Linked DNA regions of Macaca mulatta. The protein of the gene in region 3 interacts with the protein of the main gene of each other region in a biochemical or structural test. Links are inferred from orthologs where the notes say so. Each region holds a gene or a part of one and is shown on either strand. Other genes may lie near its edges.

The links.
Region 1: the proteins of KIT (region 3) and PTPN11 form a complex in vitro, tested with the Homo sapiens proteins (3 studies listed by BioGRID and IntAct, with this or other methods). The link is inferred for Macaca mulatta from reciprocal best matches to the Homo sapiens genes KIT and PTPN11.
Region 2: the proteins of KIT (region 3) and SH2B3 form a complex in vitro, tested with the Homo sapiens proteins (2 studies listed by BioGRID and IntAct, with this or other methods). The link is inferred for Macaca mulatta from reciprocal best matches to the Homo sapiens genes KIT and SH2B3.

Annotation. Positions count from the first base shown.
Region 1 is NC_133416.1:119,656,993-119,661,391, forward strand, and holds the start of PTPN11 (tyrosine-protein phosphatase non-receptor type 11), read left to right. Parts: upstream 1-1,576; 5' UTR 1,577-1,762; coding exon 1,763-1,776; exon of another isoform or gene 1,777-3,048; intron 3,049-4,399. UniProt on the Homo sapiens protein: Acts downstream of various receptor and cytoplasmic protein tyrosine kinases to participate in the signal transduction from the cell surface to the nucleus. Positively regulates MAPK signal transduction pathway. Dephosphorylates GAB1, ARHGAP35 and EGFR.
Region 2 is NC_133416.1:118,611,675-118,615,319, forward strand, and holds part of SH2B3 (SH2B adapter protein 3), read left to right. Parts: intron 1-1,970; 5' UTR 1,971-1,997; coding exon 1,998-2,738; intron 2,739-3,645. UniProt on the Homo sapiens protein: Links T-cell receptor activation signal to phospholipase C-gamma-1, GRB2 and phosphatidylinositol 3-kinase.
Region 3 is NC_133410.1:78,765,695-78,769,339, forward strand, and holds part of KIT (mast/stem cell growth factor receptor Kit), read right to left. Parts: intron 2,054-3,645; coding exon 1,860-2,053; intron 651-1,859; coding exon 544-650; intron 453-543; coding exon 326-452; intron 46-325; coding exon 1-45. UniProt on the Homo sapiens protein: Tyrosine-protein kinase that acts as a cell-surface receptor for the cytokine KITLG/SCF and plays an essential role in the regulation of cell survival and proliferation, hematopoiesis, stem cell maintenance, gametogenesis, mast cell development, migration and function, and in melanogenesis.

The DNA.
Region 1 (4,399 bases), on a different chromosome or scaffold from region 3:
CCCACCTTGGCCTCCCAAAGTCCTGGGATTACAGGTGTGAGCCACCACACCCAGCTAGATCTGTAGCCTTCAATGAGTTATATGGGCATCAATCAAGTAAAAAAACTCTACTCTTCTCAATCTGGTCTGAGTCACCATTATTCCCAGACCAGAATACTACAGTATTCCCGTATTTTGACTGGCTTCTCCGTTTCTGGCCTTGCCCTCTTCCTCGAGCTTCACAGTGTCCAAAATAATACTTCCCCACCACCCAGCTTTTTCGTTTGTTTGTTTTTTGTTTTAGAGACAGGGTCGTGCCATGTTGCCCCGGCTGATCTTGAACTCCTAGGCTCAAGCAATCCTCCTGCCTCGGCCTCCCAAAGTGCTGGGATGAAGGTGTGAGCCACCATACCTGGCCTGAGTGCAGTGGCCTGATCTCGGCTCACAGCAGCCTCGACCCTCCAGGCTCAAGCAATTCTCTCACCTCAGCCTCCCGAGTAGCTGGGACTACAGGCGCGTGACACCACGCCCGGCTAATTTTTGTATTTTTTGTAGAGATGGGATTTCACTATTTTGCCGGGGCTGGTTCCCAACTCCTGGACTCAAGCGATTCGCCCGCCTCAGCCTCCCAAAGGGAAGTGCTGGGATTTCAGGCGTGTGCCACTGCTCCCACCCCAAAGTAGTATTTGTTATTATTATTATCGAGACGGAGTTTGGCTCTATTGCAGGCTGGAGCGCAGTGGTGCGACCTCGGCTCACTGCAACCTCTGCCTCCCAGGTTCAAGCGATTCTCCTGCCTCAGCCTCCCAAGTAGCTGAGATTACAGGCGAACGCCACCACGTCCAGCTCATTTTTGAATTTTTAGTGGAGACCATGTTGGCCAGGATGGTCTCGATCTCTTGACCTCGTGATCCGCCCGCCTCGGCCTCCCAAAGTGCTGGGATTACGGGCGTGAGCCACCGCGCCCGGTCTATTACTAGTTTTTTTAGGCAGTGTCTTGCTGTCGCCCAGGCTGGAGGGCAGTGGCGTGATCACGACTCACTGCAGCACCGACTTCCCGGGCTTAAGTTATCCTCCCGCCGCAGCCTCCACGCCTGGCTAGGGTTTTGCATTTTTTGTAGAGATGAGGTCTTTTTTGCCCAGGCTGGCCTCTAGCTCCTAGGCTTAAGCGACACTCTTGCTGCAGCCTCCTAAATTGTTGGGGTTACGGGCGTGAGCCACCGCGCCCAGCCTAATGGAGGAAACTGAGGCTCGGAGACAGTAGGTAATTTCCCCAAGGTTCCACAGCTAATGAGTCGAGTGGCGATTTGTGGAACGAAATGAATGAAATCGATGTGGCAGTGGGCCCGGACGCGCCCGGTCGGTGGAGTGGCGTAGCCGCCGAGCGCGCAGCTCACACCCGGCGGCCGCGATTTCCGGGAGGAAGCAAGGATGCTTTGGACGCTGCGCTTAGCGCCTCCGCGGAACCCCCGCGCTGCCATTCCCGGCCGTGGCTCCGTCCTCGGCTAACGGGAAGCAGGAAGTGGCGGCGGGCGTCGCTAGCGGTGACATCACGGGGGCGACGGCGGCGAAGGGCGGGGGCGGAGGAGGAGCGAGCCGGGCTGGGGGGCGGCTGCACAGTCTCCGGGATCCCCAGGCCTGGAGGGGGGTCTGTGCGCGGCCGGCTGGCTCTGCCCCGCGTCCGGTCCCGAGCGGGCCTCCCTCGGGCCAGCCCGATGTGACCGAGCCTAGTGGAGCTTGAGCAAGGAGCGGGTCCGTCGCGGAGCCGGAGGGCGGGAGGAACATGACATCGCGGAGGTGAGGAGCCCCGAGGGGCCCGGCCCGGGCCTCGGCCCGGCCCCCGCCGCATTCGGTCAGCCCCGTCCGGAAGGGGGCGCCCCGGCCGGGCTTCGGGCTCCCGCCCCGGATCGGGATTGGGGGCCAGTTCCCTCCTCGTCCCCTGTCCCTCCTCGGCCCGGGGGCCGGCCCCACCGCGCCCCCACCCCTTGGGTCCCCATTCATTTCCTGCCTCCCTGAGTTCCGGCTGCGGCAGCCCGGGGGATGCCCGTCAGGCCTGGGGCAGGTAGAGCCGCCTAGGGAACCACGGGCGCCAGCGGCCCGGCTCAGCGCCGCATTCCTGACCCATTGCCTCATGAGAATTGCCTCATGGTGATTCCGAAATAACCCTGCTCACTTGGGGAGGCTCCTTGGGACACGAGATGGGAGTTGCGCGGGGCCGGGCCCCCAGTGGTCTAGTCGTTCTGGGTCACTGTGCCACTTGCGTGCATTTGGGGTCTTAACGAAGGACCCCTGACCCTTTTATGTGCCCCTTTGTGTCTTCTTTTTCTCCCACCCCTCACGTGCCAGAAATGGAAAAACTGACTGTATCTGCAGCCACTAGAAGTATTTCCTTCCTTTGCGATATTCGCTTTGGGAGATGGAAAGGAAGGGAGCCGCATCTCGTTATTTAATCCTTCACTGCAACCTTAACAGTCAGGTCACTTTACTGGTACCCGTTTTATGGATGAGGAAACCGAGGCCCAGAAGCAACATGCTAGTAAATGACAAGATTTGAAACTAAGGAGAATTAGTGAGTTAATGAGATCCTTTGAAAGATCAGGGTAATATTACTACTAATAGCTAACATTTGCTTAATTCTGACGACAGCCCTCTCAGATGGCTACTATTATCCCCATTGTAAAGATGAGTAAACCGAGTTTCGGAGAGGTTAAGTAGATTGCTTAACCTCACAGCTAGTAGGTGGTGGAGACAGAATCCCTACTTTTAATCACTATGTTGCTTCTATTATTTTGTAACTATTGCTAACCACTTGTAAGCCTTAATTTTGTTGTCAAACAGTAGTGTGACTTGTTTTCAGATAATGATCCTGCTATTTTATATAATCACTCTATATACCACTCACACTTAAGACCCATTGTCTATTCTTTTCCATGGTTGTTCAATTATGGTCACTGTCTCAGACATTTAAAAAACGATTCAAGCTATTGAGGCTATTTGAATGAGATTTTTTTTTCTTTCTTTTTTTTTCTCTTTTTTTGAGACGGAGTCTCACTCTGTTAACAGCCCAGGCTGGAGTGCAGTGGCACGATCTCGGCTCACCACAACCTCCGCCTCCTAGGTTCAAGCGATTCTCCTGCCTCAACCTCCCAAGTAGCTGGGACTATCGGCATGCCACTATGCCTGGCTAATTTTTTTTTTTTTTTTTTTTGAGACGGAGTCATGCTCTGTCGCCCAGGCTGGAGTGCAGTGGCCGGATCTCAGCTCACTGCAAGCTCCGCCTCCCGGGTTCACGCCATTCTCCTGCCTCAGCCTCCCAAGTAGCTGGGACTACAGGCGCCCGCCACTTCGCCCTGCTAGTTTTTTGTATTTTTTAGTAGAGACGGGGTTTCACTGTGTTAGCCAGGATGGTCTCCATCTCCTGACCTCGTGATTCGCCCGTCTCGGCCTCCCAAAGTGCTGGGATTACAGGCTTGAGCCACTGCGCCCGGCCTAATTTTTTTTTTTGAAACAGAGTCTCGCTCTCTTGCCCAGGCTGGAGTGCCGTGGCGCAATCTCGGCTCACTACAAGCTCCGCCTTCTGGGTTCAAGCCATCCTCCTGCCTCAGCCTCTCAAGTAGCTGGGACTACAGGTGCCCGCCACGACGTCTGGCGAATGTTTTGTATTTTTAGTAGAGACGGGGTTTCACCATGTTAGCCGGGATGGTCTCGATCTCCTGACCCTGTGATCCGCCCGCCTCGGCCTCCCAAAGTGCTGGAATTACAAGCATGAGCCACCGTGCCCGGCCGAGTTTTGTATTTTTAGTAGAGACGGGGTTTCACTATGTTGGCCAGGTTGGTCTTAAACTCCTGACCTCGAGATCCGCCTGCCTCGGCCTCCCAAAGTGCTGGAATTACAGGCGTGAGCCACCGCACCCGGCCTGAATGAGATTTTTCAAAATATTAGGAATGTCTCCTCCAAACAGACCTGGCATGTTATTCTTACATGGATCTGGAATTTAAAAAGGGGAGAAAAAAGAAAACAGAACTCGTAGGAAGTGAGTGACTTGGACAGGTCTGTTGGCAAGTGCTTGCGGATCTGGGTAATATATAACTGCATTTCAACGGAACAGTGTATAGCCTCAAATGTTCTAATTCTTTAGGGAGCTTTTAAATAAACAGTTGTCTATTCTTTAATCTGTCTAATAGTCATTGAGCCTTTTGTTCCTGGTGTCTGCTCTTCCAGACAAGTAAGGATTTGCTGCTTTAGGGGGCTGAGGGTTGGGAAAAGATCTGTGTAGTAATAGACCCTACATTGTACAGTTTGTTAGTTTAGAAGCATGGAAGTGTGGGCATAGTCAAAGCAGCAAGTGGTAAAGATGACAGTTTGAAATGGAGTTGTTCCTTTTCCCCTCCAGCCCTGGTATTGTGTACCACCCAAAAA
Region 2 (3,645 bases), on a different chromosome or scaffold from region 3:
ATGTTGGCCAGGCTGGTTTCGAACTCCTGACCTCAGGTGATCTGCCCACTTCAGCCTCCCAGAGTGCTGGGATTACAGGTATGAGCTGCTGCGCCTGGCCCGTTTTATATTTATTTTATAGACACCAATAATATACTCTCATTGCAACATGGAAATAACAATAATAGCAGACAGTCTTTCTTAAGCATTTTCTATGTTCTAGGGCTTTATGTCTATCAATTCATGCTCATAATATGCCTATGAAGTAGGCATGATCATGGTTCCCCTCTTACAGATGGGGAAACTGAGGCAGAGTAGTAGTCACATAAGTCACTTAAGGTCCCATAACCAATAAGTAGTGGTTGCTGGGCTTTTTTTTTTTTTCGAGACAAGGTCTTGCTCTGTAACCCAGGCTGGAGTGCAGTGGCACCATCTCAGCTCACTGCAACCTCCACCTCCTGGATTCAAGCATTTCTCCTGCCCCAGCCTCCTGAGTAGCGGGACTACAGGTACGCGCCACCACAGCCAGCTAATTTTTTTTATTTTCAGTAGGGATGGGGTTTCACCATGTTGGCCGGGCTGGTCTCTACCTCCTGAACTCAAGTAATCCACCCACCTGGGCCTCCCAAAGTGCTGAGATTACAGGCATGAGCCACCGCGTCTGGCTGGTGCTGGGATTTGAATCCACATTCCAGAATCTGTGTTCTTAGCCATCCTTGCTAGAGATAAGTAGTAGCAAGCTTCTTGGTTTCTTCCCCGCCATCCCTACCATCCCCACACCCCAATTCTGATTCCTCCCCAGAAATACTCACTGTTTCAGGATGGGTTTGTTTCTGCCAGACCTTTCTTGCCCACCATTTACAAAATGTTTGTGTACACATAAACATTAGTAGTTTGGTTTTATGTATGTTCATGTTAATGGGATCGTCTAGCGTGTCTTGTTCTGCTGTTTGCTTTTTCACTTAGTGAATAGCCCTGCCCTGGAGCTCTCTCAGAGGTGGGGGGGTGGGTCTTCCTCACCCTTTCCCCCTGCTGCAGAGTCTTCCAGCCTATAGATGGGCCAGATTCTTTCATCAGTCTCCAACTGGGGGCATTTAGGTTGTCTCTTAGAGTTTTTCCCCATTATAAATGTTGCAGCAGGAAATATGTAGCAGGGAGCAAGTATTTCTCTTGAATACTTAAAAGTGGGATTCCTAGAGCCTAATTGCTCTGACTAGGACTGTCAGTACTGTGTTAAATAGAAGTGACCAGAGTGGGCATCCTTTTCTCATCCCTGGCCTTAAAGGAAAAGTTGTCAACTTTTCACCATTAAGTGCAGTGTTAGCTGTGTGCTTATCATGTAGGGTCTTTATTTTATTTATTTATTTGTTTTTTGAGACAGGGTCTCATTCTGTTGCCTGGGCTGGAGTTCAATGGCTGATCATGGCTTACTGCAGCCCTGACTTCCTCAGGCTCCCAAGTAGTTAGGACTACAGGTGCGAGTGCTACAATGCCAACTCATTTTTGTGTTTGTCTTTTTGGAGAGATGGGCTTTTGCCATGTTGCCCAGGCTGGTCTCAAACTGGGCTCAAGCGATCTCCTGCCTCAGCCTCCCAAAGTGGTGGGATTACAGGCGTGAGCCTCCGAGCTCAGCCTTTATATAGGGTCAGTGTGTTAAGTACAACATATCATCTATGCTTAATTTGTTGAAAGTTTTTATAATAAAGTTATGTTGAATTTTGTCAAATACTCTCCCTGCATCTATTGAAATGATAATACGGTTTTTGTCCTTCAAAAGCAGGATTCCAGAGTCTAGAATCAATTCTGCCAAGTTGGCCATGCCCCTTACAGAATGCCACTTGGTAGGAGAGTGTGTGTTTCCCTGCATCTTCACCAGCACTGGGTGTTATGGTCGTGTCGGATTTCTGCTGTGGTTCGCGGTGTGTGACGGGCCGTCACCTGCTTGCCCACCTGCTCACTCCTTGTCGCCCCCCCACCCACATGTCTTTCAGCCCCGCCGCACCACCTGGGTCTCCACCATGAACGGGCCTGCCCTGCAGCCCTCCTCGGCCTCCTCCCCGCCCTCGGCCTCCCCGGCGCCGGCCCCGCGGGGCTGGAGCGAGTTCTGTGAGTTGCACGCCGTGGCGGCGGCCCGGGAGCTGGCCCGCCAGTACTGGCTGTTCGCTCGCGAGCATCCGCAGCACGCGCCGCTGCGTGCGGAGCTGGTGTCGCTGCAGTTCACCGACCTCTTCCAGCGCTACTTCTGCCGGGAGGTGCGCGACGGCCGCGCACCGGGCCGCGACTACCGGGACACAGGCCGTGGGCCCCCCGCCAAGGCTGAGGCGTCCCCGGAGCCAGGCCCCGGCCTCGCCGCCCCTGGCCTGCCCAAGGCCCGCAGCTCTGAGGAACTGGCCCCGCCGCGGCCGCCCGGGCCCTGCTCCTTCCAGCACTTTCGCCGCAGCCTCCGCCACATCTTCCGCCGCCGCTCGGCCGGGGAGGTGCCAGCGGCCCACACCGCTGCCGCCGTCGGGACCCCCGGAGAGGCTGCTGAGACCCCCGCCCGGCCCGGCCTGGCCAAGAAGCTCCTGCCCTGGAGCCTGGCCCGGGAGCCGCCACCCGAGGCGCTGAAGGAGGCGGCGCTGCGCTACAGCCTGGCCGACGAGGCCTCCATGGACAGCGGGGCGCGCTGGCAGCGTGGTAGGCTGGCGCTGCGCCGGGCGCCGGGCTCCGATGGCCCAGATGGCCCCGACCGCGTGCTGGAGCTCTTCGACCCACCCAAGGTAAGTAAGCCCTGCTCGCGGGGTTGCGCACTGTGCCGCGCCCTTCGCCTTCACCCTGGGGAGAGAGCCGGCTGGGGAGGTGTGATGGCTTTCCAGCTGGTGGCCACAGAGTGCCCAGAGGGAACTAGGCCCTCTTAAAAAAGAACTTTTAGGCCAAGTGCAATGGCTCACGCCTGTAATCCCAGCACTTTGGGAGGCCGAAGCAGGAGGATCACTTGAGCCCAGGACTTCGAGACCAGCTTGGGCAGCTTAGCGAGACCCTATCTCTATAAAAAATTAGCCAGGTGTGGTGGTGCGTGCCTGTGGTCCCAGCTGCTCAGGAGGCTGAGAAGGGAGGATGACTTGAGCCCACGAGGTGGAGGCTGCAGTGAGCCGTGATCATGCTACCACACTCCAAGCCTGGGTGACAGAGTAAGACCCTGTCTCTAAATAAATAAAATAAAAAAGAACTTTTTATTTTTGAATTTTAGATTTACAGGCCAGGTGCAGTGGGTCATGCCTGTAACTCCAGCACTTTAGGAGGCCAAGGTGGGCAGATCATTTGAGGCCAGGGGTTCAAGACCAGCCTGGGCAACATAGTGAATCCCTGTTTCTACTAAAAATATAAAAAATTAGCTGGGCACAGTGGCGCACACCTATAATCCCAGCTACTTGAGAGGCTGAAGCAGGAGAATCACTTGAACCTGGGAGGGAAGGTTACAGTGAACCAAGATCACACCACTGTAGTCCAGCCTTGGTGACAGAGTGAGAGTTGGTCTCAAAAAAAAAAAAAAAAAAATTTTAGACTTACAGGAGAGTTGCAAAGATAGTAGTGTTCCTTTACACATGGTACCCAGCTTCACCGAAGGTTCATATCTTACGCTGCTGTGTACATTGGTTGTAGCTAAGGAACCAGCACTGGTACATC
Region 3 (3,645 bases):
TTGCCTCAACAACCTTCCCAAAAGCGCCAGCACCCAGGGTTTTCCCTGTAGGAAGGAAGACAACAAGGTAAGTGGTGGTGGTGCTGGTGGTGGAATTGAAGGATCATTTATGTAGTTTCAAAATCAATAAAGGAATTAAAAACAATTTTGTCTAGAGACATTTTCCTACAATGTTCTCTATGCCAAACCTATCAAAAGGGGTGCAATTTCACAGAAAACTCATTGTTTCAGGTGGAACAAAACAAAGGAAGCTACTGGAGTTCCTTAAAGTCATTGTTATGTGTACCCAAAAAGGTGACATGGAAAGCCCCTGTTTCATACTGACCAAAACTCAGCCTGTTTCTGGGAAACTCCCATTTGTGATCATAAGGAAGTTGTGTTGGGTCTATGTAAACGTAATTGTTTCCATTTATCTCCTCAACAACCTTCCACTGTACTTCATACATGGGTTTCTGTGGGGAGAAAGGGGAAAATGGATCACCTTTTAAGAATTATTGTCGGAGTCATTAGAGCACTCTGGAGAGAGAACAAATAAATGGTTACCTGTAAATATTTGTAGGTGAGAATCATCACAATAATGCACATCATGCCAGCTACGATTACAAAACCAATCAGCAAAGGAGTGAACAGGGTGTGGGGATGGATTTGCTCTAAAATCAAACAGAAATGTGGAATCACAAACTTTGGCAGGATGGGATCTCTACCACAGCCACTCATTCCCAAACTGACCTCCCAACTCACAGCCCATGGCAGGAAGCAAAGCTATGTGACTCTCAGAGCTTCACCTTGGTTACATCGTACTCTTGTTATTCAAATGAATCTTTAAAAATATAACTTGAAACCAGAATACTGCAGAATAGAAGTTGAGATTTCTGTAGAAAAGGAATAATTTATGCTGTTTTTCAATGAAAAGCAACATCTGAATGCACTTTGTACTTCAATCAAATCCCTGCCTTGTACAACTTTTAAAAAGAAGCTTCCTTTATGGATGGTTTATATTTTCTTCTTTACACTTTCCTGTATTTTCTAAATTTTCTACACTGAGCATGAATGTCTTTCACAACAAAAAAAAAACACCATTTTTAAGGTATGCTTTTCGTTGCCCCGTCTGAAAAATCGATGATGTAGAACAATGGAAGATTCTTCCCCTCATTACTCAAAACCTGAGAAAATACGCCACTTTTTGGCACTAGTCTTTGCTGACTCAAAAAAACAAACAAACAAACAAACAAAACAAACAAAAAAAACACAAAAAACAAACAAAACCCAAGAAGGCCTAAAAAGTAAGTGCCCACTTTCTTTGTCTTCCCACTTTGTACCAATTCAGCAATTTGCCCACAAGGAACTTTTAACTTATGTTAAGAGAGTTAGTCACACATGAATCAAATTTTAAATATTTTAAAGAAATAACTTGCTAACATGACTTCATAAAGGCAGTGTTAACTTTTGGATACAGTGTCTGGCAAAGTGTTAAAATAATTCACTTTAAATAATTGAAATTTTTAATTGAATTTAAATGTTAGATTGTTCTAATTCTGTTTGGGTGTAAGGTAAATATATTCCCCCCCATTTGCTTTCTCTACCCCTTTTTAATGGAGACAATTGTAAATATACAACTAATATAAAAGAGGCGCACATACATATAAAATATATAAAGTAGCATGGTTAAAAGTGCTCTGGTAAAAACATATACTTAACAAGCTAGTACAAAATGAAACATAGCGAGTTTGATGACAGTATGGTGTGATGTACGTATTACCAGAAATGACATGGTCAATGTTGGAATGAACTTAAAATCATGATTGATATGGTAGACAGAGCCTAAACATCCCCTTAAATTGGATTAAAAAGAAATATACCTTTGTTGTTACCTTTAAATGCAAAGTTAAAATAGGCAGAAGTCTTGCCCACATCGTTGTAAGCCTTACATTCAACCGTGCCATTGTGCTTGAATGCACTAGAATCTATGGAACTCTGAACCACTAGTTTTCCAAACGGTGGCCCAGATGCGTTTAGTGTCTGCACATCCACTGGCAGTACAGAAGCAGAGCATCTAAAGGGAAGAAAACAAAAGCCCAGGTTTACTCTAGGAAAATAAATAAATACATAAGACCCTTGGGACGTGGCACACTTTTAAAACAAAGTTAGAGGTTCATAATCAACAGAAAATGTCCTTTTACAAGTGTCTAAGAATAAGCACTTTGGTGACCTAGTGAGTGAAAAAAGCACTGGGGAAGAGAAGAAAGGGCAGAGGAGGCTTTGGAGTCAGATGTGGGTTTGAATCCTGATGAGTTAAAGACTGAGTTTCTACCACTGTAAAACGGGGATGGTAATACCCATTGCAGAGGGTTACTGAAAGGACTGGAAAGGAATTCAATAAAATGGCAGGCATATATGCTGGTACACAGCAGATCCCTAAAATAAACAAGCTTCAAAAGGGTACATGAATGGTTGAAAATAAATAGCATAGAGGAGGAAATCATAAAAAATCTTCAAGGGACTGAGCGCAGTAGCTCACACCTATAATCTCAGCACTTTAGAAGGCCGAGGCGGGCAGATCACCTGAAGTCAGGAGTTCGAGACCAGACTGGCCAACACAGTGAAACTCTATCTCTACTAAAAATACAGAAATTAGTTGGGCGTGGTGGCAGGCACCTGTAATCCCAGCTACTCAGAGGCTGAGGCAGGAGAATCACTTGAACCCAGGAGGCAGAGGTTGCAGTGAGCCAAGATCACTCCACTGTACTCCAGCCTGGGCAACAGAGTGAGACTCCGTCTCAACAACAACAAAAAAATCAAGAATGTAGACCAGGAAATAGTCAGAGTGATGACCGAAGTGTGAGTTCTAAGCAGGAAGGCCTAGTTGTACTGCAAGTGGCTGAGACCACCACTGCAAGGGATCTTTTCATGAGCCAGACCCCAACTTCCCTATTCTAAACACCTAGCTATTTCCTGTTTCCCTTCTTAACACCTACATACATTCACTGTTTATTCCATCTATTATGTGTCTCTACCCACTAGAACAAGCTTGTCCCACCTGCAGCCCACATGTGGCTCACAACAGCTTTGAATGCGACCCAACACAAATTCATAAAGCTTAAAACATTATGAGTTTTGTTTGCAATTTTTGTTTTAGCTCATCAGCTATCATTAGTGTTACTGTTTTTTATGTGCGGCCTAAGACAGTCGTTTTCTTCCTATGTGGCCCAGGGAAGCCAAAAGATTGAACACCCCTGCACTAGAATATAAACTCATAAAGGCAAAAAGACTTGGGTATGTTCTGTCCATTAGAACAGTGTCTGGTACACACTCGCCACTCCCTGTGTATCTACTGAATTAATGCCTGTAACTACAGGGCTTGCTTCCGCTGTGGTCATTCCTCCCAGGGGCTCCTTAGTATTCCCCAAAAGAAAACACTCTTGGAGCAAGATGGCCGAATAGGAACAGCTCCAGTCTCCAACTCCCAGCACGAGCGACACAGAAGACCGGTGATTTCTGCATTTTCTTTTTTTTTTTTTTTTGTTGAGACAGAGTCTCGCTTTGTCGCCCAGACTGGAGTGCAGTGGCCGGATCTCAGCTCACTGCAAGCTCCGCCTCCCGGGTTCACGCCATTCTCCTGCCTCAGCCTCCCGAGTAGCTGGGACT